Tribolium castaneum: one gene and its partner. The protein of the gene in region 2 interacts with the protein of the main gene of each other region in a pairwise test. Links are inferred from orthologs where the notes say so. Each region holds a gene or a part of one and is shown on either strand. Other genes may lie near its edges. The genes, in order: conu and Moe.

Region 1 (16,171 bases), on a different chromosome or scaffold from region 2:
GTTGGCAAGAAATTCGAGCAAAATTATCATCTCACATTTTCTGTTTTTCGTGCTTTTAGGCCAGCAACTTCTCGGATATTTGTGATTGGCCAACGCTGAGTGATAACGTCGCGCCGGAGGTAACCGCGGTCGGAAATAGGGGCACATTGTTATTTTTTATTTTTAGTCCAAGAAAGCGGCGCCTACGCCGACCCCTGGTCAGTCGTCGACGGCGTCCAAGGAGAAGGTCCAGCAGCAGACGTCGCATGAGGAACACGACGACAAGAAGAAGTCCACCAAGCACAAGTGGGTGCCGCTGGAGATCGACTTGACTAAAGCGCATAAGAAGGATCAGTCGCCGAGGAGACGGGCTGATCGGGACGCGCAATCGACCGTTAGCGATGGAGATAGGGATTGGAGGGCGGAACTGCGAGATGGTCCTCAGGTAAATGGGAGATATCCCAGACCGGCCTCAGTGGCCGCTAGAGGTAGAGGCCGTAATAGGGGAGGACGAAGAACAACGTTTAATAGACCAACCAATAGAATGCCCACTGATCCAGATTATATAGATTTTCCCGCGGAATATGCCCAGGTATTTCCCTACTCCACTACTCCCCATCAAAATTATTTTGGTAATTTTTTTTTCTTCAAGTTTGCCACGCAAAACTTTGTGCCATACATGGGCACTTTTTACTTCAATAGTAACAGTTACGGTAATTTAGACAAACCGACGCTGAAGGAGTACATTAGGAATCAAATGTAAGTCGTGGTTGATTCACGCCGGTCACTGTTTATTCTATATTTATTTCAGAGAGTATTACTTCAGCGAGGAGAACCTTTCACGTGACTTCTTCTTGAGGCGAAAGATGGACCCTCAAGGCTACCTCCCCATAACTCTGATCGCGTCGTTTCACCGTGTTCAAGCACTGACTGATAATTTACCTTTGATCATTGATGCCGTTAGTAGTTCAGACAAAATCGAATTTTCTTCGGGATTCAAAGTTCGCCCGAAACACGAACCTACCAAATGGCCTCTATTAGACGGTAACACTGATATTAAAAAAGTTGCATCTCAATTAGTTCCTCCTCCGCCGCTGCCGCGGACTTTACGAATAGAAAATTTAAATCCGGACGTGCCTGAATTTATCCCCGAACATAACAATAACAAAACCAACATCAACATGAATAGCACAGAAGACAACGATAACAATAAGGAAAACACTAGTGAGAATAATACGGTCAATAGCGCCGATAGTAAGGAAAATAACGGGTTAAGTACGGACGAGGAAAGTTGGCGGGAAGTTAAGCGAAAAAATAAGGAAAACAAGGGCAAGAAGGAGACCAAGACGAAAAGCTACGAACGAGAAGAACTGGAATTCTACTTCGACGAAGAAATCGATCACTGCGTGCTGAGCGGACGGCAAAACACCTTCTCAAATGAAGGGTAAGACGACTGCTCAATTAATTTAGTTCCAATAAAAAAATTCATTCTAGCGCCGAAGACGACTCAGACGAATTGAGCGACCACGACGTTAGCAAATTACTTATCGTAACGCAAACACCGTCACGTCCACCCAAACACGAAGGTTACGACCGCACTGGTGATAAAACAACACGTGTCAAAATAACACAAGAGTTAGAACAGGCCATCAACGATGGACTCTACTATTATGAAGAAGACTTATGGTGTAACGTAAGTCACACAATCGTGTCAATTAACCCGTAAAAACAAACCACTTTTGTTAGGACTTTTCCTCGTTCGGTAGTTACAAAACCGTTAATGTGATCAGTCAGGAAGATTTCAAAAAGATGGCGCCCCCGGCGCCCAAGAAACAGAATCCTGAAGTACCGCCGCCACCTCCCCCTGTTGTAAGTTAGTTGGGTGTCGTTCGTTCGTGGTTGTAACGTTTTTAACAGGTCGACGTTAGTAAACCTTCCGGTAGTAAAAATAAGAGTCCGAAGACTCCCGGTCATAGAAACGTGCCAAGGTTTTATGCTGTGGTTAAAGACGAAGTTCCTGATCCTCACACGCCTAGGAAACGCAAGACGAAACATTCGAGCAATCCACCTGTTGAGCAACACGTCGGCTGGATCATGGACGTGCGGGAGCATCGCGTTCGTACGAGCTCTGCTAGCAGCAGTTACGGGACAAGCCCGAGCGAAAATCACCTGGGAACGAGCTGTGGAAGCGTGCCGCAGGCGTTGCCCGCTTTCCAGCACCCCTCGCATGCTCTCCTGAAGGAGAACAACTTTACGCAACAGGCTTATTCGAAGTTCAGGGCAAAGTGCTTAAAAGGTACGTTTTTTTGCTAAGTGAAGCGTTTCGTGATTTTCGGTGGTTTTTCCAGAACGTAAACGTTACGGTATTGGTCAAAGCAATGAAATGAATACGCTATTCCGATTCTGGTCATTCTTCTTGCGCGAGAATTTCAATCGCACGATGTACAACGAATTCAAGACAATTGCACTCGAAGACGCGGAAAAGGGTTATCGCTACGGACTTGAGTGTCTGTTTAGATTTTATTCGTACGGTCTCGAAGTTAAGTTCCGGCCGCATCTCTACGAGGATTTCCAAGAGGAGACGATCAGAGATTACGAGAACGGGCAATTGTACGGCTTGGAGAAATTTTGGGCTTTCTTGAAGTATTACAAGCATAGCAGCGACTTGCAAGTGAATGCGGTACTAAAACAGTATTTATCGAAATTTAAGAGCATTGAGGACTTCAGAGTCGTTGAGGTAACTAGTCAAGGTGAGTAGAACGCGGTTTCATTGGTGGTTGTTTCAGCCGATCAACGATACTCAAAGCGGACGTCCTCAATATCGTCAGAAAAACCGAAATCGTAGTCTTTCCGAAACACATTCGGCTGAACCGGGAACATCACGTGATGACAGCACTATTGGGCGACGCTCCTCTGGAAGTAACGTCGCTCATAGGTAAGCTGATTTGGGTGTCGAGAGTCGGGCAGCCATGTTGTGTAATTTCGGCCAGATTAGATTGTTGCTTACTTACCTCACCAGTGATCTATGCAGGCTGAAATGGCGCCGGGATATCCTATATTATATGCTGATACATATTGTTAATAATAGGGAAAGGTTTTGCCAAGGATTTGCTTATAATAATATTGATAGAACGCTGCCAATAGAATGAATAGTGCAGCCTGAGTTAACATCGTTTGATTTTTTGAGGCAACGTTGTGCCAAAAATTGTTGTTTTTTAATCAGTCAAGTTCAGAACGACGCGATTCTGTTTAACTCGCCATTCAATGTATAGATTGTTTAGTCTGCGGTCCGTTACGAAGATTATAAGCCTTATTTATCCTCTTGTCTTATGAATAAATGCGCTGTTATTAATTTATTATTTAAGAAGAGCACCTCAGCCAAAGTTGATTGATTATAGGGGCTCTCCGGAAATGCATTTATTTTAGTTGAGTGATTTTTTAGTTTTTTGTTTGTTGTTAGGGGAACTAGGCTGTTAGTTTGGTGTTAGGTTTCATTGGTGCACTACTGTAACGAATCAAATGGGAGAATCGCCAAATGTGTGTACATTCTCAGTTTTCAGATCGTTTTAAAACTTAATTAATTTTTTAATTCATAGTTGTATGTAATATTGTATTGGAACATTGTTTTTTTTTTTCATTAAATTTTCTTAAACTTTATTCTTTTTTATTTACTAGTAACAAAGCGACACAGTAAAATAAAGTGATTTGAATCGGGAATTCTTGCTAAACCTTGAACTTTCCCTGTTATTTGACGTTTTATTTATATGAACTGTTGGGGTGCATGGAGTTATAAGAGTTCCAGGGGCAACAGTATTTGTTGCGGGCGCGCGTGGGGAGTGATATGATGTATATTTTATTCTAGGCTTGATTTTGCTCACGCTCAGCCTGGAACTAGTGCTCCAGCTGGCACAGGTTTTAGATACGCGGGACGGGCTCGTACTCAGTCTTTTGGATCTGGCCGTACCAAAAGTAACCGAAATACCGGTGAATCTTGGCGACAGAAAGAGCCAGATGGTAGGTTGGGTGGGTTTGAGTGACTTTTGGCCTGAATTGAACTTTGTTACAGGCAAATTTGAAAATTCCACAAACGCTGCTTAAGTTCCAACAAGTGTTCTAGTTAAGTGATCAAGGTAATTTTTCGTACGTTGCTCGGTCTTTTCTTTTGTAAATTTTAAGTGTAGGTTATAATGTTTTAAATTATAGTTATAATTATTATAAAACTATCAAGCACTGATGTTTGTATAAAAATGAATAACTGATGTATAAAAGTGTAAGTAGATTTGCGCAAGTGCCATTGCCTTAAAATAACTGACAGTTTCATATTTTTCTAGTAATTACAAGATGAAGCTATGCAACGCAATATTTTTTAAATGTCAGTGGAGACCGTATCGGTTCTATTATTATATAACGTGAATGATTTAGTCATAAAGTTTTGTGTGAGTTTGATGGTTACATTAATCAGTTGTATTGTAATGACTGCGCTATACTTTGTACATACATATGGGCTCACTCCACAATACTTTCATATATAAAATCTAAAAAATAGGCTGTTTCGTTTTCGCTTTAGTGTGTACCAATATATTAAGCATTATGTAGCTGGGCTACACGTATAACTGCTTAGCTGAGATTTCTTAAGGTTGGTTCATTAGAAAACAATACAATCAATGTACGTTTAGTTGAGCTAAGAATGTTTGCACTTTTCATTGAAAATGGCAATCATACGATGGTAAATTTTACTTATTTACTTAAGGTATGCATTTCCCCAAAAAAATTTAGTTGTAATGTTGTTTCAAGACTATAGATAAACGCCACTCGCCAACTCGTTGTTCTAATACCATTTAATGACACAACCACCGTTTCTTTTGTTATTATATTATTGTTTTTTTTTTGCGCGTAGCCTCGATCTAAAGTAGGGACTACTCTTTACGTTGTTACATTGCCGGATTTTCTTTCACTCCTCCCGTAGTAGGGACTACTTTTTACTTTGTTACGTTGCCGGATTTTCTTTCACTCCGCCCGTAGTAGGGACTACTTTTTACTTTGTTACGTTGCCGGATTTTCATTCACTTCTCCCGTAGTAGGGACTACTTTTTACTTTGTTACGTTGCCGGATTTTCTTTCACTCCTCTCGTTTGATCTAGCTTGAGGATATTTATAAGTTGTGTTAGGACCCCTTGACAACTGGTTTAGGGGCAAGACTAGACAAAGGTGTTGTTACTTGAAACTCTGTTTTTATTAATACGACTAAATCCCATTTGTTTTATATTGTTAACAGTTTTAGGTGTCAACTACTCTTGATATATTTTTATAATGACCTTCCCTTTGGTATGTTTATGAAAATGTAAATCATAGGACAGGCAAGGAGTTCTTTTGTATGTGTTTTCGTAATATTGTATTTAGAGTACTAATTCATCATTTTAAGATAGTTGAAAATCTGCTTTTCCGTCTCGCCTGCAACCAACCACGTGCAATCGACAATTGATTGCAGGCGAGACGAAAAAACACATAAATCTTGTGATAATTAAACGTTTTTTTTGCTCAACTCCTTGCAATTTATTACATAGTTAAGTTAGTTTGTAAAGTGTGTTGTGGAAGTGTGGTCAAAGATTTGTCTTCCTGTAACACGTAAAAAAAATTAAAAAAAATTACAAAACTAGCTCGTCTTTTATTTCGAATCTCCCGGTTAAGGCGGCCCTCAACACCAGTTCCTTCAAGAGATGGCAGGGCAAGCACCTGTCATATTACACCACTCAGATGACTTGATTTGTGTTGTTTCTGTTTTATCCCAGCTTAACATGCTTAGCAACAAATTCCCTTGGGAAAATAGTGTCATAATTATTTATTAAAAGTTCAAACCCAACCGTGTCAATATGGATTTTGATAGCCCCGACGTAATGAAGGATTTCCCAGGCTTGTACGCATCCGAATTAAATAAGCAGTGCAATAACGACAGCGACTGTAATAATAAATTAAGTGAACCACTAATTCCCGATTAAAACTCGTTTCTAGATAGTGACGAAAATGAGAAAGTCTTGAAAAAGGACATTCTCATCGGAAAACGCAAAGAGAAGAAGGATAAAGACAAAGGTTATGCCGCTTTAGAAGGCGAAAGTTCAGCTGATGAAAATTTCAAGTCGAGGTAATCACACCTGCAATCACTCAAACCCTCACTGGGATGTTTCAGAAGCCCGTCGAAAACAAAAAAAGCCAAACCGTTCAAATTCTCCACCAAAGCCAAAGAAAAACGGGACAAATCCCGCGAAAAAGAGAAAGATCTCGACAAGAAGAAAGACCGGGATAAGAAGAATGACAAGAAGCAGGACAAGGAGAAAGTCAAGAGTGAGAAAACGAAGAAACTCAAACAGTCAATTGACGAGACCGCTGACATCGGCGGTGAGAACTCTTACATAATGACAATAAAATTGGAATGAATTGTTCGTTCCAGATATTTTACCGATTTTCGGGGCTAGTTTAGACGTGGCTGTTGAGAGGAGCCGGTGCCATGACGGTGTAGACATTCCTTTACCCATTCGGGAATGTATAGACTATGTAGAAACCGTAGGTATGTCGTTCGAAGGCATATACAAAATCAGCGGAACAAAATCAAAAGTTCTCCAAATACGTAAAATGTACAATCAGAGGGGCAATATCAATTTAAATGACTACGACCCTCCAACCGTCACAAGTTTAGTAAAAACCTATTTAAGGTAACCTTTTCTTAGGTGTAACATGATGGGCAAAAACTCTTTGCAGAGATTTACCAGAACCACTTTTTACAAACGACCTTTTAATACGTTTCGAGGAAGCCGGAGCCATCCTTAATCTCAACACTCGCGAAAAACACTTAAAAATTTTAGTGGACCTTTTACCTCCCCACAACAAAACGCTCCTCGGCTGGCTCATCACCCATTTACACAACGTTTCTCTGAATGTGAGTGCCTTAACACCCCAGCCCCCATAGTATAGCGCGTTTCGCAGGAAAAATGCAACAAAATGAACAAACAAGCCATTTCCACAGCCCTCAACCACACCTTCCACTGCTCCTCGCGCCTCCTCCACGCCCTGCTCCACCACTGCCTCGCGCTCTTCCCCACAATCACAATCGCGCGCTACGTGCCCCCTCTCGAGTCCGGGGCCAAGCTCCCCGAGGAGCCCCCCGAGATCGAGACGGAGCTCAAGAAGCAGGAGTCGCTCCTCACCCAGATCCACAAGGAGATGAACGTCTGCTGCATCTCGAAGCAGCGCGAGGAGCTCCTCTGGGAGGTGCAGAGGATCATCACGCAGCTGAAGCGCAAGCTGAAAACGGCGAACCGCGACAAGGAAGCGGTCGAGAAGGTGGAAGCCCCCGAGCCCGAGGCGCAGCCCGAGGAGGCGGCCAGCGAGGAGGAGTCGGAGCTGGACGGCAGCGTCGCGCTGCTGAAGTTCAAGAACGAGGGGCTGCTGCTGCTCAGAGACTCGCTCCTGAAGGACATCCAGGCGGAGCGCGGCCAGATCGCCGTGCTGCGCTCGCAGATCACGGGGGAGGTGCCGCCCGTGGCGATGGTGCCCAACGAGGACCTGGACGAAGTCATGGACCTGTTCCTCAAGGAGAACCAAATTTTGCAAATCAAGAAGATCAACTTGGTCCGCCAGATCATCGAGGAGCAGGAGATGTGCATCGAGCTGAGAGCGCAGATTTTAGCCAAGTCGTAATGTGTCCAGTATTATTGTAACTGTATATAATAAATGTTCAAATTGACGCTGGGTTTAAATTTAGGTAGACTTGACATTGGAGTGGGCCTAAGGTTACGGTATGCAACTAGCAATGCGCCTGAACTAAGCCAACAGGCGGCGCTAGCACTACTTAAGTCGAGTATTTTTACATGTTTTTGTGCGTGTTGTTTTTATTTTTAGTGGGGAGTGAGTTCGTACTGTTTCATGTCCGATATTATTTTAGAATAGGAAGTGGTTGAAGGTGTTTAATTTTTTAATTGTTATTTGTTGGATTTTTACGACCGTCCCTTGTGATGTTTGCTGGCGTTTGGCAAAGTCAATAAATAAGATAAGGAGTTTCGTTAGTGTTTAGTGTGTATACATTGCTCATTTTATTATATTGTTATAAGTCACATTTTGAATCGAAGCCTCAAGGGACCATCTCGTGGTAAGTCTTCTGTGACCCAAAACCCCATTTATGACTCCCACGTCAATAACAATCATAATCAAGTTTGCTCAACTTTTGATTAAATTGTCGACTTTGTTTACACAGATGATTCCGTTTAACCCAGAAACTTCACCAACCCGGAATTTTAGCCCATTCGTCTTCGGCACCCTTTCTTTATCTTATTTATTGTACGAAATGTTTTTAAAAAGATTAGATTATAATAGTATGTAGGTAGTTTACTTTGTTCAGGTCTTCAAGGTTATAATAAGCAACCACGAAAACATTCTTGATTTGTTTAATTTTCGGATTTGAAGCCGTTCCAGTAGCCGAAGACGTCTGTAATTATTACAGTTTTATTTACAAACTAAAAACACCGACTTGGGCATCCAAGCATGAAATTGATACGATAATCCAGATTGAATCTTTTTCCAAAAGTGGAACAAGAGATTATGTCAGATATCGTACATTTAATTCGAATTGTTCTGCCTTAGGAGGCAAGAAAGTGAAAAAACGAGATTTTAAACTAATTAATGCATTTTCTAAATCACTTTCGTTTTATTGTGTTAATCTGCCCCTCATCCTTATCTAAGATTACGCACATGCACACTTATCAGTAATAATAATTCATTCCAAGCTCTTTAACGTGATTTATTTTATTATCTTTCTAATCTTTTCATCGCTTTCGAATCCGATTCTTTATCCTGATTCGCGCTCCAATGATTCTGGGTAATAAGATTTTTTGTCCTGCTGTGATTACATTTTTTGCTAATTATAGTCAAATCTGGAGAAATCGAAAATGGGGAGAATGTAAACATTTTTCCAGCGCACAATGCCTTTTTAACTGTAGCCGAAACAGTAACCAGTGAATGTAACGGTCAATGTTACACTTGCACTTTAATATTTATAAGTGTTACACAACTAGAAATCAAAAAATCAAGATCAGCTCTCAAGAATTCAGATAAACTGATTAGCGAGAAGTAATTTACGATTCGTTTTAAGTTGCAAAAATTTTCAAATTTGAGTAATGGCTTATGAATATTGATGCTAATCAGCGGTCGAAAACTGGTCCAATTAATGCACCGAAAGTAAAATGAGTTAAATGCCTTCCAAATAAGTACGGTGCGGTCGAGCCGCGGTCTATTTTCCAATTTCCGTTCGATTATTTGAGTCGAGACAAAGCAGCTTTCTAATTTTTTTCTCGATTTGATTGTCTATCAAGGCTGTTGAATTCGCAAGTTTGAGATGAATATGACGTCATCGGGTACAATAACACTGGTAGAGTCGTAGGATGGAAATTATAGTTTGTTGAAAAATACCAAAGAAACACTTCGTTCCAATTTACGGATCGGAGGAAATGTAGAAAGTAGCTAAGTAGTTCATTTATACGATTAGATAACTTCGGTGGCCTTCACCGTTCATAATTTTCACTGTTAATGTTTACAAATTGACCTAGCCACATAAATTTGAGCACAATGCGGGAAAAGCGAAACCGAACACACGAATGTTATCGTCGAGTGGATTTGTTTTGCAACTTGAATTGTTTTGTTTTTTCCTCAATCAAGCCATAGCGGGATGATTAGTCTTACTTACATATTTAGTCGCGCTTAGTCAATCTGCGATAGTTAATTAATTGCCTGATTACCTCCAGGTAGTGTCGTGTAAACAGACTATCCGCATTGTAATAGTAAGATTAGTATTGCTGATCACGATCCTGTAGAAACTCTGTTCGCATCAATTGTGTGGACATTCCTTTGTAGCCTTGTTAATTATGCTTCCAGATGTGTAAAGAAAGAATTGCAATCATGAAGAACATATAAGTGTCCTAGTTATGGAATCAGAAGAAGCGCTCAACTACTACATTAACGAAGTTAAAGACACTAACAATGAGATAGAAATCGAGGAAGAGCAAGTCCCCAATGGTGGAACCTCGGACCGTTTTGGCATTACACGTAATAATTTTCCGCGTTTTAGAAGCCGAACAAGCTGCTGACTTTCTGCAAAAGGTCGGTTTATCCGACTTGACGAAGTTGTACAACCAGGGAAAAGAAATAACAGAAAATGTAGTTAGCGATTCCGTCAGGCAGAAACATTTGACTGAGAGACAAGCCGAAACTGTTAGGTCTAGAATCCGGACTTTAAACAAAACACTGCACAGCAGACAGCCAAGGCGGAAACAACGGCAAGACATTCGAGACGTAGCGTGGAATGTTGAAGTAAAACCAACAGAGTAAACGAATTAGCGCTGATATTTCACCGTTTCAGACATCGAGTACCGGTACCAGGTCTAGAAGTGCTACACCAGATTCACTCGACTCGGTCGGAATCCTAAACGATGACCTAACTTCGGACGAAGACCAGCAGTCGTCTTTACCTCCTTTGTACCCAACCCACGATTTTTTTTCTAAGTGTAACTCGCTCCTTTCTAGCCCACTTGAATCTAGTCAACCAGTATTTAAAGCAAAAGTTAAATGGACGTCCAGTGAACCGCTCCAGAACAAAAAATTGAGCCGTGATAAGGGAGATGTGGCCCATCTTGGATCTGAAAACGTTATCTTGAAAGGTTACCAGCCGCTGAACGAGTACTCGACCCTCCCGCGACCCCAAAGAGAGCGGAGCGGGAGCGACCCCACAACAGAAGTGCACCTCCAGCCCCTCAAAAACCGGAACAGTTACGAATGCAAACCGCTCAACCTCCACAACGAATTCTCCCGCAGCCAGAACAACTGCAGCAAAGTGTACATAAACGGCGACGAGAACGAAATCCTGAGCTTCGAGGGGTTGATGAGGCAAAACAAAGTCAATCAACTGACGTCCGAAAGCTTCGGTTTGTGCGACCAAGGCATCGACATCGACGAATTCACCGACAGCGAATACCAGTACTTAAAGCCCCTACTTTACGTAGAGTTAGTCGCTATATTCGACCAATACAAGATAGTTTTTCTGAAACGGAAGGCCAGTACTAAGTACAAAGGCAATTTTCCAATTTGTTTTTTTCGTTTTGTTTGACTGTATTTTCCAGGTGGGAACGTCTTCGGCGTTAATTTGTCGACTCTGGTAATGCGCGACATGCAGCGACCGACTGATAACCTAATGGTGCCTAAGATATTCCAAAGCGTCGTCAACCAACTGAACACTCGCTGCGTGTGCGAGGACGGGATTTTGAGACTGGCCGGCCAGAAGCAGAAGCTCGAGTTTTTGTGCAACGAGATCGAGTCGAAATTTTTCACAAGCAGGCTGGAGGTGGAGACGCTCCTGGCGCAAGCAACGGTGCACGAACTGACCGGGGTTTTGAAAAAGCTCCTCCGGGACTTGCCCGACCCCGTGTTCACCATGGAGCTGTTCGATATGTTCTACAAAACGAGCAGTAAGTCGCGGTTTTGCGTTTCGTGCCCTAAGTCCCGGTTCCAGTGATTCCGAACAGCGAGGACAAGTTGAAAGCTTTAAACCTTCTCGTACTCCTCCTGCCGATCGAGCACCGCAACACCTACAAATTGCTTCTGCAATTTCTTTTGAACGTGGTCAAGCATGAAAAGCAGAACAGGATGAATTTACACAACGTCGCGATGATTACAGCCCCGTCGTTTTTTCCTGCAAGGCTGCTGCTTCCGAAGTGAGTCAAATTTGGCGTAATTGGACACCTGGCGAAACGCTTTTTTCAGAGATAATAACAGTAAACTGATTATGAAGCAACTGTCGCAGGAAGAGTTGGCCAAACATATAAACGGCGCTGCGGTTTGTTGCGTCATTATGGAGACCATGTTACGTGCAGGATTGAAATTGTGGCTAATTCCGAGCTACCTGGCTCGGCAAGCGAAGGAAGCACAAAAAAGAGCGCAAGACAAAAAGGACAATAGTAGAGATAGAGACAAAAGAATTGTATGTTGTATTATTGACATCATATTATGTGGGTTTGGTATGGGAAATAGAGGTGATGGTTTTTCATTAATGCCGTTTTCCCAAATAACTGTGTCTGTGTGCCTCTAACCCCCTGATACTGTCTCACCGGCCGCTTTTTTGCACTTTTCAGTGGCATTATTACGCTTGGTTTTCATTATTTCTGTTTTCAGCCGTGCGGTAAAACAAAGTTGGTCAGGAGCAGCACTCAGTACGAGCCTGGCCCTATCAACTCGCCGAGGATCAAAAAGGACTTGTTTATCTAGACCCAAGAATCGAATTGTATAACATATTCCTCAATAACGTACCTTATCAACCCCTTAATATCTAGTAATATATTTAATACTTGGTTTACAATTCTCTGTGCCAAAATAAATTTTAATTTTTAATTTTAACCAGTGTTTTATTATTATTACCCACACCCATAAAAAAGTAATATAACTTGAAAAAGACAACAGCGCATTTGCATTTTCTGGCCTGATAAATTTAAAGCAAGGGAAGAAAAATAATTATTAAAGATCCTCGGAAGTTATTTATGCATTTAGCTATCGCCAGTTATGTCACTTCACGTTTTTTCTGTAGAAGTGCACTCATTTCTTGAATTGAATTGAAATGGATTACAAATTGGTTTTTTGCGTTAAATAAAAATCCGGGTTATGTTTAACGGTTTTATCATTAATAGTAAAAGAACACCTAATGGAAAAAATAAATGTTCGGTAATGCAGGCAACCAAGAATACGGCAAAACAAACAAAGTCACAATTTTAAATAAATTACAACCGAAAATAACTTTGCACTCCGCTGGCAATGAATCTAGCTATCCAAAAAACTTATTCAATCCGTTATTCGTTCACGTTTTTTTGCGTCTTTGTTTTTTATTGCAATACCAATTTAGCCCCGATACTAGCCCACATCAATACGTTCCTGCCTTCGACGATTTACACAATTTCTATTTCAACACATCCGGAGAAAAAATACGCAGCGGGAGGTGTACTATACAGGCTGGCATAAAATCCAAGCCACAAACCATCAGAAATGCCTCAACTCTTTTTTCAAACCTCTAATACAATATATTTGAGTCAAAGATTTCAAATAAAAAGTACACCGCTTTTACAGTTAAACCACTCTAATCCGACCACGTGCCAGGTGGATGAATTAGCTTTGTCTCCGCACAGCGCAGCAAAAAAAACTATTATTATAATAATAACCAATCAACAACTTATTAATTAACTTATTTTGGTTATGAATGTTTTGCGAATCTCATAGTAAACGTGTCCAAAAGAATTGAATTTAATTATTGCAATTTATTGTAACGTGTTAGCAACTTCGATTTAAGTCCCTCATATTTTATGACTATGTAATGACTGGACGATTCCGACTAAAAATTTAGTTTTTTTGATAAAAGTGCAGTTGGAGACTTACTTATGTAACATAATATGTAAGCAAACAATCGAACAAACCAATAAATTACCTGTTGAATTAATTTGTGTGTTATTTTACCTTTTGTTGTTCCCTCCTGTTTTAATTATGAAAAAAGACATAAAATATTCGAAGTTCACGTAACTGGTCCAATAGTTGTGGGGGCGCATTAGGCCGGCCTGTATGTTGAATTTTTAGATAAAACTGCATCGGAGCCTGTTCGTCGTGAATTGGAGAGCGCTCGAGAAAAACGCTTGAAAAATTAGCTGTAGCCTGGCATGCTATTTTCGGTAGTCCAATTTAGTTCGGCTAATTCCAGTACAATTAGTAAAATATAGAACAAAACAAGACGACAAATTCCTAAATAAAGCAGTGTGCGAACCGGTTGCGATTTTCCGCAACAATTGTATGTGATAATTTCCTCAGGGCCACTCACCTTTCCGCCATGTGTTTTCCTGTTCAAATTTAGCATTTTTCCGAAAAATCAAGAAAAGTGTCGTGGTTGCCAAATTTTCAAACAACTTTCCTTCTAAAATTAAATACCCATATGGTGGGGTGTTTCAGCAAGGAGATGAAGAGAAAAATCTAAAGTGCGTAAAGAAAAAGTGATTGTTTTGAAAGCGACTGGCGTCAAACACTGGATCGCATACGCTTTCAGGAATGAGTGTTGCTTATAAGATTTATAAATTGTTTGGCGAACATCCCGAAATTAGGTGAGCACGGAATCTGGTTGCGACGCTGACCGTCTTCTCTCGCACAGCTTCAACGTGTGTATATGTTCATATGAAAGTGACCCCGTGCGAATTATCGCCAAATTGTCCGATTTTTTCGGTAATGTGGGAGTAGTGCCGTCGTGCGAACTTTCCAGTGAAGTGATTACGTAATTGATGCACGTTTTCTGGGCCCGATGGTCCAGCGCATCTCCATTTTCTCCTAATCCCAGTTTTTGAGTAACAAATACACAGTAAGTGCTGTTATTCCCCATTCGTGAATTTGGTAAATCGAGTCAGGGTCTTGCAGCAAATACAAATGTGCTGTAGCTATATATAGACGGAACTCACGACCTAAGATGTTGCAGTTGTAAATTGTGAAACCCTTTCACCAATTTTTGTCTCTAGCGCTGAATTCGCCCAATCATGCATCACATGTACCCCCTTGCCAAGGGAGACCCCTTGTGTCCCCTAGGGTTCCACCCCCAAGTCAGGTGGCCCACTAGGTGTAAACGGTGCTTCAGGTACATAATCTAGTTTCGTTTTCCGACACAAACACAATCATTTTAGAGACTATAAGGAACATGGGGGGAAGCGAAGGGACGAAGAACCGTCCCTCCGAAGAGACGACACCACGGCGTCGACACCTAGTCTGTCTTGGAGTTCAAGGTACAAGATTTGCTTTTTCACATCATTCACGTGCTTGGCATCCTTCAGCGGTGTCAATTTTGACAAAAGTCAAATTACTACACGGTGCCAAATTAATTCAAACTCAATTATCTTTTTTATACCCAACTGCACGAGCAGATTTCATGGCAGATCAACAATTCAATCAAAAAACAAAAGTGGGGGTTTTTCTATTTTTGAATTTATCGATTAAAAGGAGGTGTTTTTTTCACTTTTTGTGCAGCCTCTAGCCGAGCGTAACCTTAGCAATGGGTTACCTAGACAATATCTTCATCAGTTTAATAATTATCTCGGTCCGAGTTGATTCAGAGAGTAATTCAGTTGATTTTGTTATTCGATTTAGGGATGCAGATAGTGAGAGAAGACGTAGCTGGGTATCTAGCAGCAACTTAGCGTCTGACCGTGACAATAATTCTGTAAAAAGTGAAAGTAATTATAGCAATCCATCATCTTGGACGTCCACTCCAGATTTAGCAAAATTGGAAGACGATACTCAAGCTGTCACAACAGTTAGCATAAAATTACCAAAGAGAAAACAAAAACCGATCGATACGGGACAAAGAACTGGTAATTAATCCAACACGAGAAACCACCGATCAACAAACCATGTTACAGTTTCTGATAGTTTCTCCATTAAACCCGAAAAGTCAGTATTTAGTAAAAACGATAGTTTAGCAGCACGCGCTAGGAAATTACAGCAAATCAAGGAAGCAGCGGAGGAAAAACACAAACGAATCCAAATAAAAGAAGTCAAAACAATATCAGAGGAACCAACAAATCACGATGTACAATTTCTCATCCAAGTAATTAAATGTTGTGTTGTGTTAACCCTTGCACTCCTATTCAAGTAATTAGAGCTTTGTAGTATTTGGGGCTTGTTACACCCTTTATTTTAAATTTCATAGTTTTGGGGAACCGCACGAATAGGATTGGTAAGACGCATGCCAGCTCATCCATCAAGAAGCACCCAGGACTGGTCAAATCATCGTGTTTTTGTACCTTAACAATTATTTTACCCCGCACTCGCACCGCTTGATATTCATCTAACTAACCATATTAACAAAATTTACTTAAAACACAAGAGTCAATACTGAAGACAATTTACGTTAGGTGAAACGAAAACCTACTGTAGTGGAAGACCATCATTCAGAGCCCGAAGACGACGCTGTAAGTATAGCCGGAACCGAGACAACTGACACCACTTTGGTGGATGCGCACGATCACGAGTTAAGAGAACAGTTAGAGAGTTTAAAAAAAGAGCTAGAAACGACGAAAACAAAATGTGAAAGACTTGAACGCGAAAAGAGTGACATTCTCCTGCGAAGACTCGCAGCGATGGAAAC
Region 2 (16,308 bases):
TTTTTACTGAAGAGCAATTTTACAGACATTCAATCATGGACTCAAAACAACTAAACTAGACAAAATAATACAATACTATACAATATAAGATTTTTAATTATCCCTATCACAAAACTGTGTTTTTGGAGCGAAGCTGTACTTACTAATGTTTGAAATTTTATAACAGCATTCCCAGTCATATTAAACAACTAAATTTACACTGTTTCAAAAAAAAATAGTTAAACCAAAAATTAGTCAATGCGGAACTATATTGTTTCAACGACTTTGGTATCAATATATTTTTGTAATTCAAATTTGTATACTCTTTGACTTGTATCACACTTTAATGCACATATGTCACTGATATAAAAATAAATTATTATTATTATTATTATTATTATTATTATTATTATTATTATTATTATTATTATTATAATTATAATTATTATTATTATTATAATTATAATTATAATTATTATTATTATTATTATTATTATTATTATTATTATTATTATTATTAATTAGTATGAAAATTTCAAGCTTTTCAGTGAGTCAGTCAGGACGTGGTTTTGAGCTTTTAGTGAAATATTTTCACTTTTAATAAAATTATTCCATAATTTAGCGCTCACTGTGAAATCCAAATGGGTTGGATGGCCAGTGAAATCGATAACTCCGATAACATTGTCGGGGGAATTCCCGGCAAGCCGTTGTGAGGCAGCACTGATAGTTATCTAGTTACGAATTTTTAAATTGTCTTCAGGCGAGAGTACAGGTCGGATTATGGCCGCCAACAAAAAATAAGTTAAAAAGTTTCATTTTTTGAATGACTTTGTAAATATCCGTCTTTCTGGATGCTTAAATTTTTTGTCCAACGTAAGCCTAATTGCTCGGTGGCGCCATAGGTGTACATGGGTAAAAAAGCAAGGGGATGTTGTTTATCGGTGAAATCCCGAAGTTTGCAGCGTACCCTTAATTGCTTCAGAGACTCGTCGCGTCATGAAAATCCGTAGAATCATATCGAATTTTGTTTTTAGCGAGCAGCAAATAAGTAAATAAATTACGAACCATCCCCCGTTCTATTTTCGTCCGTATTAAAACGGCCCTGGATGATGCGGTAATCCGATAGGGCTTTAGCGTCTGCGATATATTTTCTTTTATCTCCCGCCGTCAACAATCCGAGCAACTAGGCTTGCAACTATGTGTCTATCTATTCCTTACAATTCAGCACACCCATATTTTATTTATGTGCGGGTCGCTGACACCCATTCATCAAGAAAAGTGTCAGGGGCCCTTTGGCCATTTCTCCCAATGTCCATTGACTCGACTGCATTCTTTCAGTATTTTAACTCCCATGTGGTCGAGAGCGCCCCAAATAGCGTGACTTACTCTTCAGTGGGCCAACATGAACTTTACCCGTTGTGACGCCACGTCCGGACGAGACATCCGACACCTAATTTATCGACTGGAAGTCCTGGATCGCCCACACACAGAGTGATCCATTCGTGCTCACCTTCCCCTAGCACCTTAAGGATGGCATAAAATCGGAGGAAAACAATCACTGTGGTTTCGTCATTTTCAGTATAAGTGTGACGTTCTTTCGAATTCTGTTGCTGATCTCGATGGATCTGACTGCTTCAGACACTTAATGTTAAGATAGGGGGAAATGTGCGCTTTTAGATATTTTTAAAAAGTTGTATAACAAAATTAGGAATAAATGTCTGTTTTTACCCACAAAGCACCCGCTTTTTTCGGTTGGGGTGCGGAATAATAGAATCGTAATGGAAATAGCGGCAAAACACTCATCAATTATTTTTAATGAACACAAATTCCAGCAAAATTCATGTTTTACTGCGTTAATAAACTGACAATAAATTATTTCTTAAATTGATTTTAAAATTGTAATTTTAATGAAAAGGACAAACGGGCAAACTGCCTGCATTTGCTTATAATGTAAATTTAGTTGATAAACGCCGTGATAGCTTAGATGGCCCATAGAATTTGTATATTTGTTAGATAGTTTTTATTTCCAGTAAATATAAAAAAGGCGCACTTAGGTCCATTGAGAATTGCATTTATGTGCGACTAACAATCTTTTCGAACTTGTAACGGAAGAGTATTGCAACTTTATGCGGTACTTTTACCGACATACAAAAGTGTACAATTTTAAACTTAGTTTTCTTCAACTGTGATATACTTTAATTTAGTAATTAGTGAAACATAGCTCAGTATTTCTAAAAGCAAAGATTTACCTAATTTTAGGACTTATGTATTTTTATAATCACAAAATATAAAATGCAATCATCTAATAATTTTATTATAGATAGCACCGTATAATTCAAATGGACAAAAAAATGAGAAAACAGAAAAATTGTTTGAGCAATACGGTATTACGTTATTGTTGATTTTTGTTGTTACCGATGTTACGTTTCAGATTTTTATTGTACTGTACTTAATTTTAATAACAATAATAAAATTAAAATGGTCCTAGTCAATTACGATGTATAATCTACTATAAAATCACATAAAATAAAATGTATCCGATTCTATTGTGTTGATGTAATAAGTGATGTTATTTAAATTTTATAAATGTTGTTTGTTTTTATTAAAATATGATGATAAATTTGGAGTCTGATTTCAAACCGGGGCCGCCTAAGGAAAGGTAATAGGGAAAAGGTAAATAAAAAATGTTTTCCAAATAATATTTATTAATTATACTAGTAGTACATAACTCATAAACTACGAAGAATACAAATGTTAAAAACTAGCGACGTAGTTTTAGGATGTACAATATACAAGTGATCGCAAGATAAATATATATTATATAAATGTATAATAAAACAGACGTTTGATATCTGCGGTTTATTTAAATAAGGATTAGTTAATTTCTTTCCTAAAAAACCATTTGAAGAACGGTTTTTCCTCACCCATCTGACATACTACAGTGTAAATATCATCCAAACCTATCTAGAAGGCATCATGGTCTTTAAAAAATAAATGTTATGTACATTACTTTATTGTTACGATATGTAACAGGTAAAAGATTAAGTATTGTAGAAAAAATATTGTAAAAACCTTCTTTTTAACCACGATAAAAATACAGTAAGTAGAAAAAACGAATTGTATAACTTTTATTTACACAATAAGGAAGCACCAGGCCAATAAAAGTGTACAAAATTTAGCTGATCTTAGAATCAATTCGAATTTCAAAAAACAAAGATTATTTTTGTGTAGCCCGTTAACCAAATGGCACTAAAATTAGAAGAAAAACTACCATTACGTGGAATGCGTTTAAGTGATTTAAATGTAAAGAAAGTGAATTAACAGATCTGTTTTTTTCTCCTCTCATATCATATCACAATTCTAACAAAATAATTTGCAACAAAACAAGAATGAAAATAGTGTAACTAAGATTTGAAAGTCTAAGGCCACTTAAATGAGCACTTTTTATCTTACATTGGAAAAAAATCATACTTAGACGTAAGTAAACCAAAACTTAAATTTAACATGATCTCGTATTGAGCATTGAAAGTTTGAATATGGAATTTTGATTTTGATTGTGATTTACATATTTTCGAATTGGTCCACGCGACGCTTAGTGTTACCTTTACGTATCTCACGCAGAGTTTTGTATTTATCTCTGCCCTGGCGCACGTTCTCTCGATGGATCTTGTCCATGGCGGTTTCCTTCGTCTCGTCCCGCGACTGGGCGAGGTCTTTCTTCAAAGCCTGGAAGAGCCATTGAAATAACTGGAATTTTTTTACGTAAAACTCACCAGAAGTTGATCATGGAGTCGCTCATTGCGCTCAGCAAGAGTGCGTCTGTCTTCCACAGGATCCACAATGTTCTCATCCGTGGTCAAATCCTTGCTCACGTCCCCATTGACCATCTCATCGTCCTCATCGTGGTTGTTCTCCTCCAGGTGGCCTTTGGTCGCATTGGCCATTTGCTGGGCCTTCAGCTCCTCTTCCTTGCGACGCGCGTTCTCGACCTCCTCTTGCAGACGCTTAGTTTCATTGTCCTTCGCAGTCACCTCGTCTTGGATCCTCTGCACCTCCAACTGTTTGGCTTGAATCTCCTCCTCCAACTTTTGGCGTTCGGCAGCTTCCATGTTCTTGCTTTCCTCCAAACGCTCCATCATCGCCTGCAGCTCGTTCTGCCTCTTCTCCAGCTCCTCCTTGGCCGCTTGCAACTGCTTCAGTTGCTCCTCCAGGCGCCGGATCATCTCTTGTGCCTCGAGGAGATTGGCTTGGCTTCGCTCCATCTCCTCTTGCATTGCTTTAATCCTATCTTCATACTCTTGTTGTTTCTTCTCGGCGCGTTCTCTCGCCGCAATCTCCAATTGGAGTTTTTCCCTTTGTTGTTGTTTGGCTAGTTTTTCTTCACGAGCTTGGGCTTTCATCTGCTGCACGTCTATGGTGTCGGGCTTCCGACGTCGCATGTACAACTCGTGATTACCCATGCATAGAGATAAAATTCGTTTGTTTATTCGAACGCGAGGCGCGAAAAATACGAAATCGGGGGCCTTCTTATCGATTGGCTTTATAATGAATTTGCGGTCGTTGAACGAAATATTGCGGATTTCCGACCAGGGAAAGCCGATTTTGGGCGTTAGTCGGTCGTCTTTTTCGTAAATGTTCAGACCCAAGGCGTCCACGCCCAAATACAGTTCGGTGCCTTTTTTGTTGCGAATTTCAAAGTAGTTCACACCGTACATTTCCAAGTCCTGGGCTATTTTCAGGTATTCCATCATGGTGTCTTCGCGCAACATACCACGATGCTCCTTCCACCAGGTCATAATGCTCTGCTCCCACTCCTCTTTCGACATCTTGTGCTGGTCCATGACTCTGAAAATCATCGGTTTTCAACGTTTTACCACAAATATTCCTCTATATTAAGCGTGATTAAGACACAGCTCGGGTAAATAAACTTAAATTAAACACACCATTACGAATTCATGCAATATTTACAATTTTTTCCCGGTTCTAAGAGGTGCTTAGTAGGTTAGATTTGTGATAAACACAAACAAATCATCATAAAGTCAGAATTCCACACAAATCATACCTACTATGGCCCGCCGAAACCATTCTGTTAACAAAAAAATTATTTTGTTTTTTCTATTATTTGTCTATTTTTACAAAACAATTTTGCTAAAAGATAAGATATGGGTGTGCTCTTGAGTAAAGGAAAATTGTTTTCAAAGGTCAATTTAAAAGTACACCTAATTAGAAGAGTGATTTTAAAATACATTCTACATGAGTAAGTACGTTATTACAACGACAAAAGGAAAAGTGTTTGGGCCACATTCCTGTTAAATTGTGTTATTATTTTATCAGTGTGTGTAAAGTAGATAAGTTTTACAAGCTCCTTGACTGTGTTTGCGCTAATAAATAAACTCTGTCTGTAAAATAATCACCTTTGTGGTAAAAGTCTGTCGTTTGAAAGGAATCCGGAGGTATGAACGGCCTTACAATAATCGCCGTATCTCGCTTGAACGGCATAGGAAGCTAAAAGGACGGACGTTTCAGGAGGACAATAAATCTCATCAGATAAGATAGAGTTTTTAACTTGTAAATAAAATAAACGCAAAGTGATGTCTTGAATTAATTCTTCGGCGACATCTTCGGGATAAAATTTGGCACGGAACTTGAATTGAAGTGGATTTTCTTTCTTCACATCTTGGCTCATCACCTGGAAAATATGCAAATGAGCTAATGACAGGAAATAACAGTTTGCACGTTTAGGAAAAAAGAATTTCTGTTATTTTATAGACGTTACGTAAGAATAAAGATACTGTAATTTGTTGTGCATCGTTATTTCTCGGCTAACCTTGCCGACTATTACCTTGTAAATTTGCCAACGTAGCAATGTATAATTCCAATTTGAAGTATTTTCTTATGCAATGTACGGTATTTAATCACGTGGCGTATTACAAGCTAGACACTACATTAATTTCATATTTAATGTACCCAATCCTAATTACCCAATTATCGTAATTAAAATCCAGGCTTCGAAGCCCGACCTGTAGGGAATTCCTTGTAGAAAAGTACCATCCGAAGCTATTGACCTACTCAAGAATTCTGTTACAGTGAATGTACTTATACGCCGAGATGACTTTCAATGGCCTTGTAAAAGTAAAATCCGAGCTCAATCGATTTCCGATATTTAGACAAAGACTCGTTTTAATTATCCCATTCATAAATTTGATAGAAGAAAATATGCATGCAAGTCGAGCGGTGTTACAACAATTATTCGCATTCACTTGACATTCCAAGTCGCACCTTTCTGTGTTAAACGGCCTGATTTTATGCAAAATCATTTTTCTAATCGTCGTGAAAGCGAGATGATAAATGAGCACATAAATAGAAACTCGAAAAGCCGAATTTTGTCCGAACGAATCGTGCTGTGCTTTTCCGCTACGGTGCCAGACAAGGACTTTTGTATTTCCGTTTTTCCCATCATATCCGGTCATTAATGATTGTAGTTTTGTCTATAGTAGCGTTCCATTAAAAAACAAAAATCGATTCTGGCTTGTTTTTTATATAAAAGTTGCGAATTAATTTTAGATCTTTTTGATGTTTGCACTCGTCTTAACATCCGGAACTAAATTTAGACGGTACTCGAAATTATTTCGGGGCGAATTTCGTACTTACCAATTCATTATCGTCTTCGTCTTCTATATTTAAAAGCAAAGGACGCGGCTGAAAGTTTTTTATTTGTTTAAAGCATTTGAAACTTCTTTGTATGACAGATTCCGGCTGCATTAAAATAAGACAAAAGTGAAAAACAACAATTTTCCCAATTTATTTCTAGAGGGTCTAAAAATACCAACAAAGCAGGTTGGGGGCACTACTTGGAAAAATATTTTATTTATGCGTTATCAAGCGTCCTTCATCTATTATGGCGAAGACAAGTGGTGCATTATTTAACTCGCCATGACCTATACCTGTTCTATAAGAATGATGATATTGCCGACATTGACACGAAAAAGCGGTCAAAAAACGATTTTATTAAATTTTTAATTTGTTTTTGCCACGGGATTTGAAACGATTATAACAATTACCACTTAATGGCGCTAAAAAACAAACAAATTACTGAGCGCTTACCCACTATTGAATTAATGATTCACGTTGATGATGTCGTTTTCGAAATATTTTTAAAAATTTGAAAAATAAATGCAACTCGACTCGTGACCTTTAAGGCCGGGCTGCCGCCCACAACAGGTGGCAAATTTCGCCTCTGACATAATCAATTTAAAAATAACTAATGCATTCTCAAAGTCGTAAAAACGCAAAATTCGATTCGCCGAATGGATTTATCACTTGATTTTTAATATGGTCGGTTGTGAGTCACTCATCTTCAACTAACAATGACGCAAGAGACCGCAACCAAATGGCGGCTGCTCCACACATCCTCGACATGGAAAACTTTATCAATTTTTTATTTGGGTCGTATTTAAAAATACAATCAAATTATCTACAATCGACATACCTGAACTATCAAAACAGATAACACTTATGTTCTACTAAACTTACGTAATAATACTCGTAAATAAACAAAAAATCAATTTGGATGATCTACCTAGTTTTTACCTTTTTGTACAGCTTGATCCATGTTAGATCACCCTTAGAATCGGTGTACTGTAGTCCGAAAAACCAAACTTCTCTCAATCCGATTGTTTTAACTACTTGATCGAAGAGTTGTTTTCCGGATGTTGTTTGCTGGATTGCGAACTCGAGTTCCGCATCCATAGTGGTCACCCTGACATTCATCTGAAACCAAAATTTAACTATACACCCTGTACACACCCCCAATTAATTTAGTACTTTAGTATCAGGACAATAACGCCGCTTTAAAATGTACATTTTGTCCGTGTTAAAAAATTTCATCGCACTCACAACGCCAGCCTAACAAAAGCACTGTTGTATCGTCTTGGAAAGTTATCAAGTTTGCTTAATAAAAATATTGTAATTAGATTAAAAATAAACAAGGGTTATTAAAAATATAAACGGCGAGATAAGAGGTTTAGCTACACATTAGTTACATAATTTGGCAATAAATCACGTGACAAAATATTTATTGTGTATCGTTTCATAAAATATCAGTCAAGTTCAGACGCATCTTCCATCAAGACGTAAGTAACGAAACAATATTATTCCTCAATTGTTTGAAAAAATAATAAGGTTCAACCTTCAAATCGATATGCAAATAATGACAAGGTAACACAAATTTTTTATTCCAATTTGTAACTATTACAAACATCATCGTAACATAAAATCCCATTACGACATGACGGTTATTTTCGCACACGTTCGTCAACGTTTAAATAATTTCGATAATGCGTTATCAACGTTTAATTGCTAAAATATACAAATTTTCACATTCATTTGGTCGTATGTCTGAATTTAAACCGGCCAAATCATATTTACTTGGATTTTAATGCCAATAAATTTGTAAATATTTATAAATCATTAACACAATTTGGTCAAAAAAACATGCTACTGCATGTATCACTCTGTAACTATGACAGTTATCATCAAGGCTAAATTAAACGTGAGCAATCGTTTCTAATTAAAATTACGATTAAAGTTCCAGGCTCGAAAAACTACCAAATCACTATAGAAGTCACACATTTTATGACGATAGACAGGGTGTTCAATCGTCACGGCAGTTTTACAGATGAGGCAGATAAAACCTAGCCTTGTATGAAAATTCAGCGAAACAAGAGCAGAATTTACATTTTAGTTAATTATGTATGACGGGTACCTATATTTTGCACCCAAGTTTCACTTTGACAATTACAGTGGCACCAAATCGAAAAATTATTCAAATTGAATCACGAGTTAAAAATGGGAAGATTAGTTAATTAATAATTTAATTTCTTGTTATCTTGTTTATAGTGTGAGTCATTCAATAACAAAAAAATATAATTAAACGTTGCATAAGTTCGTAACCGTTTATTTTAACCGTGACTCCACAAGTCTTTGAATAAATTTATTACAAGTTATTAAAAATAATTGTATTACCAATTTGCTGGACACCATTTTGAACGAAACTTAAAAACAGTCCACTAAACCAAAAATCTAAACACTAAATATTCACAGCGATGGACTTGGTTCCGGTGGGGTAAACTCCACACTGAAACCGGTAGAATTACTTGAACACACAGCCGAGACCGTTGAGGTCTAGGGAATAAGACAAACCGTCGATTGAATGAAAGCACCAATAGTAGTATTCGGATTCATGAATCAACTGTGGGCATGAGCAAAGCTACATAGGGGGGCATCTGCTCCACAGCACCTGTTATACCATCATTTTTATTTTAAGTCTTAAGAACTCTGTAAACAATACAACTCGATTTGGTTATTTGTCACTTCGGGGAAAGTAGAGTGCAAATAATTAATCAAAATAATCTGATCTCGATGACATCTAGAGCAATTAATAGCTTATTTTTATTGAATTAAGTGAGACTTAAAATTTTAATCGTCGGTCGTTACAAAATTAAAACTTTCTTAGGTGAGTGGCGAAGATGACGAGGTCGGAACAAATGACTGTCTTTTGAACAATTGGTGTGTGAATTATTGTTTTTCATGTGAAAATTACGAAACTGACGTTTCCTACAAGAGTAACAGACAAGGCGATTATGAAATAACAATAAAAACAAAACAAAAAATGGTATTCCTAATTAAATAGGCCAGCCCACATCTCGATGCCCTTGAATTAGAATAAGTCAAGTAGACTGTGGACATTTCATTTGTTTGGCTCTGCCTACTACGATGAGTAAGTTTTTGGGAATTGTTGGTAAATACAGTCATTGATAAGGTGATATTTTAAGACGTTACTCATTTTAATATGCACTGCTGCATTTATAAAAAAAAAGCAATTTTTCCGAATTAAATCGAAAATGGGACACATTTGCATTTTTTGGGGTGAAATGGTGTACAAATTGACAGTTTCTGGTAGGTTTTCTTAGCTCAAAATTTATTAACATAGAATTCTTTTCTTATACAACTCTCAATTTGTGCTTTATTTCACCCCAAAAAATTCAAATGTGCTGTTGCAAAATGCTACTGATCTGAAATAGGAAGTTTCGCAGAATTTCGTCAAAAATTAACCAAAAAATTTAATAGCTCTTTGATAATAGTATCGCACGAATAAAAAAAAATGTGACCGTAGGTTCATTTCACGTAAAACGGCCTTTAGATAATAACCTTAATTTAAACTTGTGACGTTTTGAAAAGTCAAATTTGACGTTAAAGCCTACTTTACAGTCAATTTAATGTCCCATTTCTTGCTTCAAAACTTGACTAATTGAATTAGCATGTAAAACAGTAAAAATGTGATACAGATTATCAGAAAAACACTAATTGCTAGGCAGGACAATACCAGTGAAATATTTCATTGTTTCCAGTCGGTACACTTTTTTTATTTAACTACAAAATTTATGGATTCGTTTGAAATAGAAATAAATCAAGATAATGGGAAATAGCTTAGATAAATAGTACTCATTGTTCCTTTTACGATTTCGCCTTAATTCAACCGTAACTTATCAAGGTATGTGATAATAGGAAATATTTAGTTGGAGCAAAGTCAAAGTACACAGAAATGAGCAAAATGGCGCTAGACTATTGTAGCGGTTAAAATGATATAAAACCATAATTTTTATGCGACCCTAAAGCCAAAAAAAAATTCAATAGCCCATTGAAACTTAACCACCAATGGTGCAATGTAATTCCTTTTAAACGATGCCATTGTAAAATGTCCATAATGAGTCATTAGAGGCACTAATTTTCCAAATTACCCGACATTTTATTTAAAAGTTATTGACAGTGAAATGCAACTTTCACCACCATACACCCAATCAACAGGTGTTTTCACAGTGCGGTGCGTCAACACGGAATTACCTCTTCTACTTACCGATTTCGGCATGTTGGCAGTCTTGTCTCGAACCAAAAAACCTGCAACAAAAATGAACCTCGTGTAAATAGGGCTCGAAAATCGCATTAAACAGTCGGCCGTGAGCGCACCCGATTGGTCAATTAGGTGTCATTTTTTCCCAAGTGCAGTTCACACAGCACCATTTTCCTTGCAACTGTTGACCATTTACACGCTCGAGTGGTACGCCACCTGACTCAACATACGGCCTAATTAAATTATCAGCTCGATTTAGACCATTTTCGCGATTCCAGCCACGAGGACGACTCCCAAAGGGGAAATCGCCTCCGAACCAAGCACAGGTCAGCCTTTGAACAGGCAGTACCGGTACTTGTGTTTGTAATAACTGTGCTGTTGAAGCGTCTTTGTAAACGTGACACTTGCTGGAAAGGGGGAGATACTCACTAAGAAATATATCTTTTGAAGATTAACACTCTTGTAGCCACCACATTAAGTAGCACACGCGGGGTTTTTCTGGGCACACACCCTTCCACACACGACACGACAACTTATCGGAAAATAAATTGTCAAGAATCAGCAAATTGTGTATCGTTTAGTTCCGACTTTGCCACCAGAGGACCAAAAATGCGCGATATACTGCCATCTACCAAACGACCACAAAACCAAGGGTTCTACCCCAAAGCCAACTACGACCAATCGGCGTTAGACGGAACCACCCCCAACAGAGGGCACTTTATCATTTTTTTTTTAATTTTTATTTTATAGCAATAAAATCCAGTGTTTAATGCAGTTGTGGTTTTTATTCCTTTATTCCGAATCCCATCCTGTTCTAGAAAAATAGCCAAAACACTTGGCATCCTACGGAGAACTATAAGTCAGGAGACGAAACGAGATACAAAATCGCAGAATTTTTTGAACTCAAAATAATAGTACGATAGAGTAAAAATAGGGGCACTTTGAGCATTATACCGCCTTGGCACCAAATCGTCCTAAATCAATTTAATTCAACCAATTACAAATTACTTGGAAAGAATGTCGAAATGTTGGGCTTAACAAAATAAGAAAACTAACGATTAAAATTTTCACAAGAAACATGAAAAAAATTGTATATTAAAAAATCTACGTTGGCGTTTTTATAGTTCTGAAACAGATAATAAGTCTCTACAAGCTTAGAATTATCAATTTGCTTTCCACGTAATATTTTTGTGAACGCTGCCCATACGGTTGAAGATACAAAAAAAGTGTAAGAAATAAAGTTGTAAAGAATTAAATTTTCTGGAAAAAGTCTGCAAATCCTAGATTATAGACACTATTTTAAAATACGTTTCCGGTAGCAACGTGTTTTTACTATGTCAAAACGCGCTTCTCATAGCAACGTAAAATGCTCCTCGCATACGCTCGTTGCATAACGACAGCTTTAAGCTTGTCTTTATCGATTTTATGAAATGTTCGTCCACTGACCCCACCTGACCTGGTTTGGGATAAAAATGTAAAGTTTAAAATGTAAAGTGTTTGCGAGGAACGCAACACTTTACGAGCTGGGATCAAGAGATTTATTTTTTAACTGGAAAAAAATGCTTTGTCTTCATTTGTGAGTGAAAAAAGTATCGGTAATGATGAAAACTGCGCGCGCAAAATCGATCCCGCTGTCAGCGCACGTCATTTCAGTCTTGTTCTATTTCCGCCATCTTGGAAATACAGATAAAGTAGTGAGCGTCTCTAGCAATACGCGAAGTAGATAACTGATTTATCATAATTTACCAACAAAATGAAAACCTACAGTCGGAAGAAATCCGGAGAAGCTCAAGACGTGATCTTGGATCTAAACGAATTATGTCGATTATGTATGGCAAAAGAGGACGAATTGGTGCCGATTTTCAACAGCGACGAAGCCATCCCTTTGACCCTGCGGATCATGGCTTGTGTCGCCCTCGAGGTAAGAAAATCGAAAAACTGTAGTTATCTACTCGTTACACTTGACAAAATCTGCAGGTTTTCGAAGGCGATGGCCTACCGAACAAGATCTGTCACCCGTGCAAATTCCAACTGGAAAAATCGTACAACTTTCGGAAAAAATGCGAAAACTCAGACATGAAACTGAGGCAGCATTTGAAGAGTCTCCAGGCTAAGATTGGCGATGCTGACCTGAACGTATCAGGGGAGAGCGAAGCGGCAGTTGAAGAATCGCAAGAGAAACAAGAGGATGAAGTTAAGGAACCCAGCACTGAAGAAGACTTGGTCGGGGTCACCCAAGTCGCCTACATACAACCAGACCCCGAACCTGAAGACGATCCCGAAAGTATCACTTTACCGGCGGACGCCGACGTCGTGAATAAAGACGCCTGCACCCTGAAATCCCTCAAAAGGGAAGTCATGGATGTTGAAGACAATGAAGGCGACGGAGTCATTTTTGTGGATGAAGCAAGCCAAGAAATGGAAGACACGAGCTACGACGCGATCGCAGACGCGGTCAAGGCCACTCTTGCCACCCAGCCGGGTCAGTATTCAACGATAGCCTGTGGTGGAGTTTCCCACATTGGGGGAAACTAAAAGAACTTGGAGAAAACGTCTCATTTCATCGTAAAGATCACACCAAAATCTATCATATTGGATCGATTTTTATTGATTCGACACTTTTTTTATTTTCTTAATTACGGCAAACTATTCAAAAAAGCGGAACTATAACTATAACGATATTTTCAATTCAAATGTATCGTTCCAGGTTTTGACGTGTCTGGCCAGCTGCAGATGAAAATTATCCCCACGGAGGGCAAGCTGACTCAGGTGGAGGTGACCACAGAAAACGGCACAGTCATAGTCATGGAACTGATGACCGAAGAAGAGGCCGAAGCGCCCCAAATGAGCTCCACCGTGCCGGAAGTCAACGAAGAAGGCGAATTGAAAATCTTCAAGTGTCCCCAATGCCCCAAGTCCTTCGCACGGAGGATTCAGCTGCGAAGGCACGCCTCGGTTCACATGCAACAGAGAGGTTTCAGTTGCGGGATGTGCGAGAAGTGGTTTCCCACTAGGTCGGCTTTGGTGCGTCACGAGAGGATTCATACGGGGGAGAGACCCTTCCAGTGTGAGATATGCCAGAAGAGTTTTGCCCAGAAGGAGATTCTGTATCGGCATTTGATGACACATTCGGGACAGAAACCGTACAATTGCACCCATTGTAACAAAGGTTTTACGCAGAGGGAGCCACTGAGGATCCATCTGAGGACGCACATGACGGAAGGCTCGCATGATATCAATTTACACTATTGTTCCTTGTGTCCGAAAGTATTTTGTCATGCCTCGGGTTTGAGTCGGCATTTGGTCACCCATACAGGGAAGACCTTTAAATGTAGGGATTGTGATCGGTCGTTCACGGATAAATCGTCGCTGAGGAGGCACCACAAACAAACACTGCATCAACCGTAGGTTTCGTCGAATATTTTTGTGGCTATATATTTTCTTTAAGAATATACTTATTCACACTTATGGTCTGTATCTTGAACCCTTTAATCTCATTTCCAAGATAGTCTTCACCGTATACAATTTCTTGTTGCAAATATCAGATTACGCTAAACGTTTACATGCTTTCCCGTTCACGTGACCCGATTTGTGAATAGCTCACGTCGCTCTTCACATTCCGCTCTAAAAATACAAAAAATATTTTCAAAGACGCGAAACCCATTGTGCAAATCCCTTTCCCACCTTTTATTATCCTCAAATTACATGGAACAAACGTGATCTGGAATGCTGCCATGTTGGTAAAATTGTCACGTAGTTGCCGTAAACGAAATAATAATTTCGCCGAAAAGTAAATATTTTGGCAAAATTGAAATAATCCCAATGCTTTGTCTTGTCTTTTTCTTAATTGTCACAGCGTGCGACAAACTTTTCCATCCCCGACTGAAATATCTCAGTTTTGTCCAAAAATCTCGTTTATTTCGGGACCGCCGACGTAAAAGAATCAAAAATAACCCGAAAATTATAAGCGAAACGCATATAATGGTCGCACGCACTCAAAAACCTATAGAAATTATTTTTACCAGCCTAATTTCATATTTTTAGAGGTGCAATTACGGCAGGTGTGCGCAAAAACAAGCACTGAGTAATTATGTTGGGCAATAAACGTGTCGGAAAAATTCTCCAGATTTTATTGTCAATGGATGTTTATTGAAATTTTTGGCGTATAGTTACGTTGTTGCCCCCCGCTTGTCCTCTATGGGAAGTGTGGGATATGAGAATCGCTTTTGCCAGTTTATCCCTGCGATCGTCTGAAAAGCGGCAACGAATATTTCAGGTAGCTGCAAGTCAACAAATTGTAATTTAATCAAACTCATATCTATTTTTAATGCTTACTAATATTAGTCCTAAACCATCAATCATAACTTGGATCAAGTCACATTCACATAATTTACAAATTAAAAATAAAGTAGCGGAATTAGAGCAAGTACTTGTTTCCTGGAAATAGCGCGGATTGCAGTGTGGGGCTTTTAATAGAAGTGCGTGTCCCACGAATTCGCTTTTTTGACGAAAATTTTTCAGTCTGACTCACATTTTGTCCCGGGTATAATTAGACTTCAAACAACTGAAATAACAATTTACTTACCTCTGTTATATAAATAAGTATGACTTTAATATGCGTTCGACCGTGACTTTAAATTTAAATGAAATTAGAATGCCCCATAAAAATTAAATAGCGAATTTTAAAAATATAATAGTGAATCACGGTTTTTGACTCGGGTTCAAGACCGAAAAATAGCCACTTGAGAACAACATCTGTTTGAAATTAGAGTTTCTAGCCGATTGCAACAAAGGACACTTCGTATCAATAATCTTTCGAAAAATTACATGTTTACACATCATTTTAAGTTTACGATCGCATCTCAATTCCTCCGTGATGGAAAATTGCAATTTGTTCGAACTGAGCGTCGTTATTTATAACTTGGTGAAAGCACACTTGTTTCAAGTAATCTTTTCATCGATCTCTTCATCAGTTTATTTTTACAGCGAGGCCCCTTAAAATTTCAATTTCAGGTAGTTTAGAAGCGAGAAGAATCCGAAAAATGGCGAGATTAGTTAACAAACAGTTCAACTCTCCTATTGGTTTATATTCCGAGCAGAACATTCGAGAAGTGATCGAAAGAGAGTCCCAAATTTTGTCAAATGGAGCAGTCGGGTAAGACAATGCATTTTTGGCAAAGTTCCATTCAGGTATGTTTTCAACCAGGGCAAATCCTAATTGACATATTTGCGTCTGAGAAATTTTTAAAATTAAATATTGTGGGGATTTTTCGGGCAAAGGTGGGCGGAAGATTGATGCCAGTTGAAAATAAATTTTCAACAGAGAATAAAGCGAAAAATGGTACAACATTCTTTACCAAAAGCGCAAAATATGAGGCCATTTCACACTTTTCCTCGTAAATAATCAAATTACATAAACA

What was found.
Region 1: the proteins of Moe (region 2) and conu interact in binary tests that used the Drosophila melanogaster proteins (3 or more experiments, as listed by UniProt). The link is inferred for Tribolium castaneum from reciprocal best matches to the Drosophila melanogaster genes Moe and conu.

What each region holds. Positions count from the first base shown.
Region 1 is NC_087403.1:3,528,336-3,544,506, reverse strand, and holds conu (rho GTPase-activating protein conundrum), read left to right. Parts: upstream 1-7,849; 5' UTR 7,850-8,119; intron 8,120-8,125; exon of another isoform or gene 8,126-9,897; 5' UTR 9,898-9,947; coding exon 9,948-10,038; intron 10,039-10,090; coding exon 10,091-10,332; intron 10,333-10,381; coding exon 10,382-10,497; intron 10,498-10,545; coding exon 10,546-11,090; intron 11,091-11,138; coding exon 11,139-11,483; intron 11,484-11,527; coding exon 11,528-11,729; intron 11,730-11,778; coding exon 11,779-11,995; coding exon of another isoform or gene 11,996-12,047; intron 12,048-12,186; coding exon 12,187-12,279; 3' UTR 12,280-12,408; downstream 12,409-16,171. Other genes in the region: larp (la-related protein 1), read left to right, coding at 60-119, 167-571, 632-738, 791-1,423, 1,474-1,672, 1,726-1,848, 1,897-2,275, 2,328-2,716 and 3 more; Rlip (ralA-binding protein 1), read left to right, coding at 5,850-5,937, 5,989-6,118, 6,164-6,372, 6,425-6,686, 6,733-6,910, 6,958-7,671; centromere-associated protein E, read left to right, coding at 14,568-14,665, 14,712-14,810, 15,172-15,395, 15,444-15,631, 15,939-16,171. UniProt on the Drosophila melanogaster protein: GTPase-activating protein (GAP) for Rho1; functions with the ERM protein Moe to regulate Rho1 and control proliferation in the developing epithelium. Recruited by Moe to the cell cortex where it negatively regulates Rho1 activity.
Region 2 is NC_087397.1:5,678,200-5,694,507, forward strand, and holds Moe (moesin/ezrin/radixin homolog 1), read right to left. Parts: upstream 7,929-16,308; 5' UTR 7,867-7,928; coding exon 7,804-7,866; intron 7,750-7,803; coding exon 7,570-7,749; intron 5,669-7,569; coding exon 5,394-5,668; intron 4,825-5,393; coding exon 3,753-4,824; intron 3,706-3,752; coding exon 3,541-3,705; 3' UTR 2,667-3,540; downstream 1-2,666. Other genes in the region: Dop1R2 (dopamine receptor 2), read left to right, coding at 1,318-1,401; zinc finger protein 358, read left to right, coding at 12,642-12,809, 12,866-13,370, 13,596-14,296; uncharacterized protein LOC661454, read left to right, coding at 15,931-16,043. UniProt on the Drosophila melanogaster protein: Involved in connections of major cytoskeletal structures to the plasma membrane. Together with wgn, involved in control of axon targeting of R8 and R2-R5 photoreceptors, independent of egr.